Schizosaccharomyces pombe: one gene and its partner. The gene in region 1 interacts genetically with each later gene. Each region holds a gene or a part of one and is shown on either strand. Other genes may lie near its edges.

Region 1 (4,916 bases):
CTCTACATGGAGATCGTTATGTATATCAAAATTTTGAGCCTGGGGAGAACTTAATACCTTCAAGAAACGATGGAAGGATTAATAGAACAAGTCATGGTCTTCGGTACAGTCAGGGAGGTCAATCGAAATACTGGATTTCTCGATATGATCAATCTCGAGTGCGTCTCATTAACAATAGTCAAAACTCTCCACAATCAAATAAGTCCTACTTTTCTATCCCAGGGATGTCAACTTCACATTTCGAAAATGGGCTCCAATTTGAAATAGACGATGAAATGGAACCATTATACAATCAAGCGAAACAGATGCGTTATGGTGATTATAATTATCCAGTTCTTCTAGTGAACAATACTCATGCATCTTCTTCATATACATAAAAGTCACTAGAACCTAGTAGCAAAAGAACTTAATGTATTGCTGAATGGCATTGCATTGGACCGTTTGGTTTTTGGCATTTGATTCTGAGCTGCCAAAACAATTTCATTCAGATTTGTCTCTAAGACAAGACCACCAGATACTACCTCAGCAAGAATAGCATGTATTTCTTGGAATTTAAAAACCTATATTGTGTTAGATCTTTCTAATTCGCTTTCAAACAGATGGCTTTCAACTCTTCTAATTATTTCTTCCTTCAATATCCTTTTTTTTTGGCGTATACACTTGTATTTGGATAATTATTACTAACACCTCCTCTTTTTTTTCATTGGAGATTGCGAATCATCGACAATGAGACTCTACTTCCAGTTCTATGCATAATTTCTTTCTTGAAGGCGATGAGAAGTAAAGGAATTAGGAATTAAACTCTTGTAGTTCCTAAGTTCAATAAATGATAAAAATAAATGTTATGCTCTTTTGATAATCGAATATTGGACAAACATTAATGTTTCTTGTAAGGCCAAATTTCCAAACATTCGAAACCAAATAAGAAAAAAACAAATTAAATAAAAAAAAACGGAATCAATGGTTTCAAACATATAGCAGTAGGATAATGGGAAGATAAACGAGTAGTGAAATGTACTTACCAAATCAAGCTCGCAAACATTATTAAAGCATCGATCTAATGCTTCAACAAATACCTTTAATAGTTAGAAATTGGAAAGTAACTAATTTCAACTTACTTGAATGAGATCGAGAATTCCTAGTTCACTTTCACCTTCATCTACTACAAAAACGAAGTAGAGAGTAGCGTACTGGCGATAAATTATTCTATTTTTACCTGCAATTAAATTACTTTCCAAAAAATTACAAGCGGTTGGGGGCCTAGTGGATACAGCTGCATATATATCTCCTATTAACTTTTGTTGAATGGATTCATCAATTGGAGTGTAAAACTTTGTGAGACGAGGTTTCCCTTTATTGTTAAATATAAAAACAGCGTAAATCATGACAATAGAAAGGGAAAGCTGGCAGAACCCAAATATGCAGTGCTTGGTAAACGGCAAGCTGAAGTTTAAGTTGAATATACGTTAATAGTAGTTTGGAAGAACCAGGATCGACAAATTTCTTTCAATGCCTTAGTTAATTTGCTATATTTAAGATTTTCATGGTTTTATATTTATTGAGTATATTATTTATCCACTATTGAACCAAAGATCTGTTACTGAAATTCATAATGTCTAGTAAACAATTTTTGCCATGCCTTCAATGATCTCTATAACGAACTACTTTGTATACAATTTAGGAATAGAAAAATAGGAAAAAACATTTGTCTTCCACCAATTTTTGAATTGATGGTTATGAAATATTCAAATAGCTACATAGTATGTGACATCTCAGTAATAAGTAGACACATACTAATAGTTATATGAGGTGATCCCACTATTCAGTTACTATAGGTATATATTGGTAGCTTTTTTTTGATTAATATACTAATTAAGTGAATATTTGCATAATATGATTAGCAATGAACGCTGCCTTGCTATATGGGAGGCACTTGTTTTAATCAACACTACTATAGATGATAGTAAAGCGAAATTCCAATTACGTACGATTAGACAGTACGTGCCTAAGTGTTTTTCTATGAAAATAGAACTAATCATTTCTTCATACAATGTAAGCTGATTTAAACGGAAGAATTTAAGTATTGCAAGTAAGTTGCTAGAATATTAGACAGCCTAAAACTTGATAAAGCGAATATTGACGAAGCTAAGGCTCGTGGACTACTGTTGCAATCACCACTTTACTGGTAACGAGATTAAATAGAATTTGATATCCCATTTTTTTAAACCGAAAACAAATTGTATTAACATATTCCATCTTGCTTAACACCTTCAAATAACTCCCTTTCTTCTCGTATTAAACATTTTTACGAAACGTGTTACAATAGTCGTACAGTTCCTACGACTACGATATTGGCATATAACAAATAGCGCTACCAGACAATCAATAAGTCATTAGCATGAAAAATAATTGCCACGTAACTAAACTCGCTACTTCTCATTAACCAACGTCTTCTAGTAGTTGTCGATGAGTTTGTATTGATGCCTCCTGTTTCAAAAAATACTCGCACTTCATCAAAGACTGTTAAGAAACCCTATGACCCACCTCAGGGGAGCTCAAGGCCCTTTTTTACGGTCTTGAAACGGGCATTTTCATCTGTTTTGCACCCATTCACCAGTGGTCTAGACGAGAAAGCTTCAGGAACGGCTAGCAAGGATAGAAAGAGTGGAAGAGCAGGTACAAAAAGCCTGCTTACTCCAGAGTTAACACCTCATTATTTAGGAAAATCTCCGTAAGTTGACATTTTTGTCGTGAAACATATTAACATTAAATAGAAGAATTATTCGCGTTAGTAATCGGAGCCATGTTAGAACAATTGATGGAATAGAGGAAAAAGTTCATACGAATACATTTGAACCTAGGAAGCCAAAGCAAAAGCAAGATTATACTAATTCCCCAACGCTTTTTAAACGCCATGACGAGTTGTCGTTAAAATCACTTAATTCGCTTCATCCTTCTTCTGCTTTATCCAAAAAGTTGGGCAGCACTTCTCAACATCAAATTGCAACTCCCAAATCCTCTGCTTCATTGCTCAATATCCTTCGGTCACTTCACGATGAGCAGAAAAATACCTTAAATATATCAAGTGTAAAACAAGATCGTATTACCGAAGCTAATCCTACTTGTGAGAAGCGCAAGCCTTCTAGAAGTCCCAGTCCTATGCTTTCCAAAAAGAAATCTGTTGCTCGTGCCTCTGAAAACGAGCCCTCAGCTAAGCAGAACAAAAGCTTTTCTGGAAATGATTCCCATAAGAGTCTTACCGACATTAGAGATAAGGAGAATGGCGAAACAGAGGTCTCAGCAAAAAATCACGTTCCTCACCGCTCCTCTCGGCGACGTCGTAGACACCAGCGGCTTATCCCTATCATTTATGAAACTCTTGAACAGATGGATTTAAGGAAGCCTGTATTAGTCAATGCAGAAGTTCAGACAGATTCCAACCCCGGTAATACAATGTTTATTGATAAGCAAGATATTTATCACCGGTTAAGTACACCCACTTCGCGTAAGCGTCAGACTCTCGAGAAAGGTCATATTAAGGCTTTTTCTGCAGTTGATGAGGATTTGGATGAAATCTTTGCTTGCGAAGATGACGTTCATTACACCGCATTACCCAAACAAAATCCAAAATCTGAGCGTATATTAGAACCTATAATAGCATCTCCCAAGGATAATACAAGTGACAAGGGTTTATTGACGAAGTCCGCCCCTACCTTTGAAGAGCTTCAAGCCTCTATTACCCCTAAGCCTGTAAAGACTTCTCCGAATGATACGGCACTTACTCTCGCGAACGCTGAGGATAATAAAACCTTTGAACATCAGCCATTGTCAAAGGATACAGAAGCGCCCAAAAGCCAATTTTCCTCATCGCCGACAAAAGAATCTACAACTAGAAAGTCCGAAGTTGAACCGCCATCACCTTCTAAGGAAATCAAATCTTCTCACTTTTCAGTACCCGAATTTAAGTTTGAACCGAAGACTGAAGCTACCACGGACAAAAAATTAAATGTACCCAAATTTGAGTTTAAGCCAACTGCTACTGCTGATGTGCAAACTAATCGTTTGAAGGAGAATGAGCCCAAGCCAACGTTCTTTGCACAATTACCGTCAAAGACTCAAGAGACGCCAAGTATAACTGAGAACAAGCCTTCATTTTTTTCTCAATTAAGTCCAAAACGAGAAGAAACAGAAAAGAAGGACAACGCTCCGTCTGCTCCTGCTTCAACTTCTGGTTTCAGCTTTGGAGGATTCGCACCTAAAACCCTTGAAGAGAAGGAAGAAACGAAAGCTCCTACGTTCAATTTCTCTTTAAACAATGCTTCTAGTACACAAGACACAACAAAACCTACGCTACAATTTAATTTTGGAAGTAGTTTTGGAAAGCCAACAAGCAATATTTTCAATGACAAAAAAACTTCTGAAAATGGTCTAGCTAGTTCTACTGTTGCTTCTGAGTCAAAACCGTCAGCTCCCGAATCAAAACCGTCCTCGGGTTTTGGAAATACCGCAGGCTCATCACCCTTTTCATTCAATTTGACCAAGGAGTCCAAAGAAGTCCCACCTACAAATTCCTTTTCTTTTGCTAAAAAAGGGAAAGATGAAGCGAATGACAGTTTGTCAGCTAAAGCTTCTACTCCATTTTCGTTTGCAAAACCTAATACTGAAAATGTAACAACAACTGCTCCTCAGTTTTCATTTAATTTTACCAAGCCAAATACGGATGCCAAAACCAATTTGCTACCTGAAAAAACTTTTAATGAAGAAGCCGTAAAGCAAAAGGAAACTGAAAAAGAGGTCCCTCCAACAGGTCCAAAAGCTTCTGAAATAAAGGATTCAGTATCTTCTAATAACGCTGTGCCCTCTTCAACCTTTAATTTTGTATCTCCCTTTGCTGCTGTATCTGAAAAAACAAATGA
Region 2 (4,424 bases), 2.3 Mb from region 1:
TTTGATAAACCACCAATATCTGAATAACGCTCTGTGGGTTTTTCGTCTACTTCCATAGCCTTAACACGGCTATCATACTCTGAAGGTAATTTATCAATGATCAGGTAAGAATCTTTGTTGACACCAATAAGATCACCCGGATGAAGCTCTTCAGGTTCAACAAGACCGATTAAGGGAAGGAAGATGGTTTGACGAGTAGATGTCTTAATAACGGCTGACTTGCCAACACGAGTAGCCTCAGAGTTTTGGTTAGCTGATTCTTGGACATCAACTTCATCAGGTTGCATATCTAAAATTTCAACAACGTTTCCTACCAAATAAGGTAGCATCTTATTATTCGAAATTTTTTCTTGGTTTTCTTTGATTTTTTCGAGCATGGTGCTCTTTTCATGAGTTAATCTTTGAAACTCGGATTTCATAACCTACAATCTATGTTAGTGAATTTTACTTCTAGAAAAGAACATTCGACCGCATTCATCTTTCCACCTTCATTTAAGGATGAGGGCAAAACATTATCAGATCTTCGTTCTCTGTGAATAAAGAAATTATAAAAGAAAAAGATTTCGGTTTTCCCAACACTTATCTAGAGGTTCATTGAATGACTTACCTTAATATCATTTTCCAACAATCGTGTCCGACTATTCAATTCATCTATACCGGCGGCCAAAATTTCTTGTTCAATTCCATCCAAACCTTCATTATTGGAGGATCCTCCCTGCTGGGATTGATCTAGCGCGTCTAATTCTTCGAGAGTTGACATGTGTGTTCCGGTTAGGTTAAAACGACTAAGGCGTGTACTCCTATAGCATCATAAAAAAGTGTAGATTTTTATACATGATTATTATTTTTTTTATTCTTTATAATTTTTTTATAAATATAATTTCTTCTTATTTTGTAACTTGCATTTATTAGCATCGCTCTAGCAAGCATCCTTGTAGACAGCTTGGTAATCAAGGTAGTGATTATGTGTTACTAGAAAATGGTAAAGCTACGGATATTTTATTATAATTTACATGTTTCCCTTATTTTTTATAATTAATATGAAAGTAGTCCCACTTCTTCTCGATGATCTTTGAAACTGATGTTGCTTTAGTAAGTTATATTTGTTTATGTTATTGACATTAGTAGGAGAAATGTATGTCTTCAGTAAGAAAATTTATCCCCAAAAAGTGCATTAATGTAATTTCTTTAATTGAAACAAATACAATAATTAGATGTAACTGCTGATGAGGCATATAGCGGTGCTTAATATGCTTTTTCACAATTTCGTTTGATAATAGTGCAAACTTATTATTTTCTACCAAATATTTTATAAATAGTTTATTTTATTTTATAATTCCTTTTACTTCTATGAAATGAATAAACAAAATAAAAAAAAAAGAGAACTTTACATATATAATTAACTTCAAAACCTCTATATGGTAATATTTATACTTCACAACAAATTCAAGGATAAATATAGTAATTTTTCAAAGTTGACAGCAAATTTGCTTAGATGGAATATTATCTTACTCATGCTTAATATAATAATTCCTTTTCTAGAAGGCAAAAAATAAAAGCGACCACGGCGAGATTTGCACTCGCGATCTTTGGCGAACCTGGAGTCTCCTCCACCGGAAACCAACGCCTTACTTCTAGGCCACGAGGCCGCTCTAAGCGGCTGCTCTAAAATGTAATATATATATAGGAAATTCAAGTGTGAGTAATATGACAAATTGATGTTCTTCTAATTCATCAATCTATAACTTTTACGACAAAAGTACTTATTTTTTTTTCTTTTCTTTGTTTTTAATCTATTTTATACATTTATCCTTTTTTTCCCACTAGATTGTCTTTCCCAAATTTTCAAGCTAAAGAAGATCTAAGCTTACAAACTACTATGGTATTTCTATTTATTTTTAAAGAACAATGATATCTGAAGCTTTATCTCCATTCAAAATATTTCCTTTATATCTTTGAATATTAATAAGACATTTTTGTATTCATTAAAACGGTTTCATTATTTACGAATTGTTAATTCCAGAAGGATGCAGTTGAGAAGTGAACTAAAACAATATTTTTCATATCCTTTATTCAAAAAAAAGGTTTGCAATTCACTAATTTATATACTGAACCAAGTAGTTTTGTTGTATCAAAACAGTGAGTCTTTACTCAAAATTTCAGCAACACCTTCATTCACTCATTCATAAATCGATTTCCTAGTGTAGCTTACATTTCTCTGTTTAAATTAATTCGGTTTTATTTATTTCTCGTTTTTATCCAATATAGTCATAAAATCAATCATATCACACAATTAAAATATATTTTGTTCATAATATAGAATTTCAACGAACTTCGCTATTTCAGCTGACTTTCAAGGTAAGTAGAATGTCTCTTTACCTACTATCCTTTTACGTCTTTTTACACAGGAATAGAAATGGAGGAATTAGCTAAAAAATATCAGAACCTACAAACAGGTAAATCAAAACCTTCTGCATCGAATTAAATAATTAACGAAATTCCCAAGAACTAAGCACTTATGTCGAAAGTTTAAAAAAGTTGGAAACCCAATTACAAGAAAACACTACTGTCCTCAATGTACGTTAAGGCCACAAAAATTACTATTTTCCCTATTTTCTCCATTTATATTAGAATTGTTTTGTTAATGCGAATTAGGAATTGGAAAAAGTGGCTCCTGACTCAAATATATATAAGCAAATCGGTCCTACCCTTGTAAAGCAAAGTCATGAGGAAGCAAAGACCAACGTTAAAACAAGATTGGATTTCATTAATAAAGAAATGTATGTTTGTTGAAATTTGAAAAAGAAGAATTTCCTTGAGGTTAAAATCGCTCTCTAAAAATGCGAGTTGTACTTCTTCATTTGTATTATCGAATTGCGTATGTCATTTTATTAATTCATAATTATAGTGCACGCCTCGAAAATCAAACAAAAATCTCACAAGAAGAATTCAGCAAAGTTAAAGGTGCCATCATTCAAGCACAAGCAGCAGCTGCTCCACCAAACCCAGCATCTTAAATGCTTTGGTAAACATTTTTTACTCTAAAATAAGCTTAACGTTTATAATGTTTAATAGAACCTACTTTTGTATCATTGACTTTTGTTGCAAATCGCAGACTATTTAATGTATCCATGAATTGCGACTTTAAAGGAGACACATTAACAAACATCAGGGTTTTGGCACCTTTTCCAAGTGAATATTTTAACAAATAAGTTAGCTAATGTCTGGTTAGTACAAAAATGCTTTCAATATAGACTTTACACACTGCTGCAAAGCAAATAAGTAGCCACTTTGACAGTTAAAGAACGTGTTTCGTAAAGAACTTTTCATTCTAATACTCACCTTTGAATTTCGGTATGGTATGTGAGACTTTTCCTTCGTGGTACTATTTGAGGCATTTCCAAGTGCATGGATAACATCGCCAAGACAGCTGAGACTTTTATTAATAGCTTGCGTTTCTCGTAGTCTATCCCCAACTGCCTGACTGTAACTTAACCGCTCAGAACCTGCCAAATCAACTAGATTTAGCGTACCTTTACATATTTGTTTGGTTCTAGAATTTTCACCATCTATATACAGCATGAAAACAGTGTGTGATCTTGAAGACCGTTCATTTGCTTTTGTCGCTGCTATAAATCGATTTTCTCCTGCTCGATTTAGCATCTTGTAAACAGTATCTTCTTCATTAAAATCAATTATTGAAACGTTATCCACTGTTGTTCGTCTTTCCTTTTCATCATGATGAATATCGTGCTTAGGATTTTTCAACATTTCCGCTTTGTTTAATAGATCATAAATCGTTTCATTGTAAATTTCCAAAAACTGACCTCTCAATTTATACACCCACCCTTTCTCCCTCAAGGTTGATAGATAATTAAATATATGCTTAATTGACATCGCTATCATACCGTCTTGTGACGACATTGTGTACGTCTTACCCGATCCTGTTTGTCCATATGCAAATATACTAACATTATAACCATCAATAGCGCTTTGAATTAACTGTGATATTTCCTCAAAAACGGACGAGTTATCGCTTTCAGGAGCAAAGACTCGATCAAAGGAAAATTCATAATTACGATCATAAGTATGCCCGAGTGATGATTCAACATTAGGCCCTTTAAGAATAAGTTTTTGTGGCTCTAGTGCGTCTTTATCTGGAAATTGTAAAACATCAGCAATGCAATATTCGGATTCTTCACTTGGGAGTAGTGGTCTAACCCTACAAAAAACTCGAATATTTCCCTTTAGTTCTTGAATGTCGTTATGCAGCTTTCGTCTGATTATTTCTTCTGCTAACAGTTTATTATACATATCTTCATTTCTCCGTTCCAGCTGTTGGATTCGAGCTTGTAGTTCCAATGCGTTCTGGCCATTATTTCTTTCTTTATCTTGAATACTTGCAACATATTTAGAAAGTTCTT

The links. Genes that interact genetically often act in the same process or in processes that back each other up.
Region 2: mutations in nup124 (region 1) and pfd6 together harm fitness more than expected from each alone (negative genetic interaction), as found in Schizosaccharomyces pombe (one large-scale study listed by BioGRID).

What each region holds. Positions count from the first base shown.
Region 1 is NC_003424.3:1,109,734-1,114,649, forward strand, and holds the start of nup124 (nucleoporin Nup124), read left to right. Parts: upstream 1-2,441; 5' UTR 2,442-2,480; coding exon 2,481-2,731; intron 2,732-2,774; coding exon 2,775-4,916. Other genes in the region: transporter Hfl1, read left to right, coding at 1-377; AP-3 adaptor complex subunit Aps3, read right to left, coding at 384-560, 1,023-1,076, 1,119-1,385. UniProt on the Schizosaccharomyces pombe protein: Nucleoporins may be involved in both binding and translocation of the proteins during nucleocytoplasmic transport. In S.pombe it is required for the nuclear localization of retrotransposon tf1.
Region 2 is NC_003424.3:3,440,280-3,444,703, reverse strand, and holds pfd6 (prefoldin subunit 6), read left to right. Parts: upstream 1-2,384; 5' UTR 2,385-2,416; coding exon 2,417-2,456; intron 2,457-2,506; coding exon 2,507-2,577; intron 2,578-2,586; exon of another isoform or gene 2,587-2,655; coding exon 2,656-2,780; exon of another isoform or gene 2,781-2,908; coding exon 2,909-3,017; 3' UTR 3,018-3,052; downstream 3,053-4,424. Other genes in the region: proteasome regulatory subunit Rpt5, read right to left, coding at 1-422, 608-760; kinesin-14 family minus-end directed microtubule motor Pkl1, read right to left, coding at 3,053-3,217, 3,343-4,424.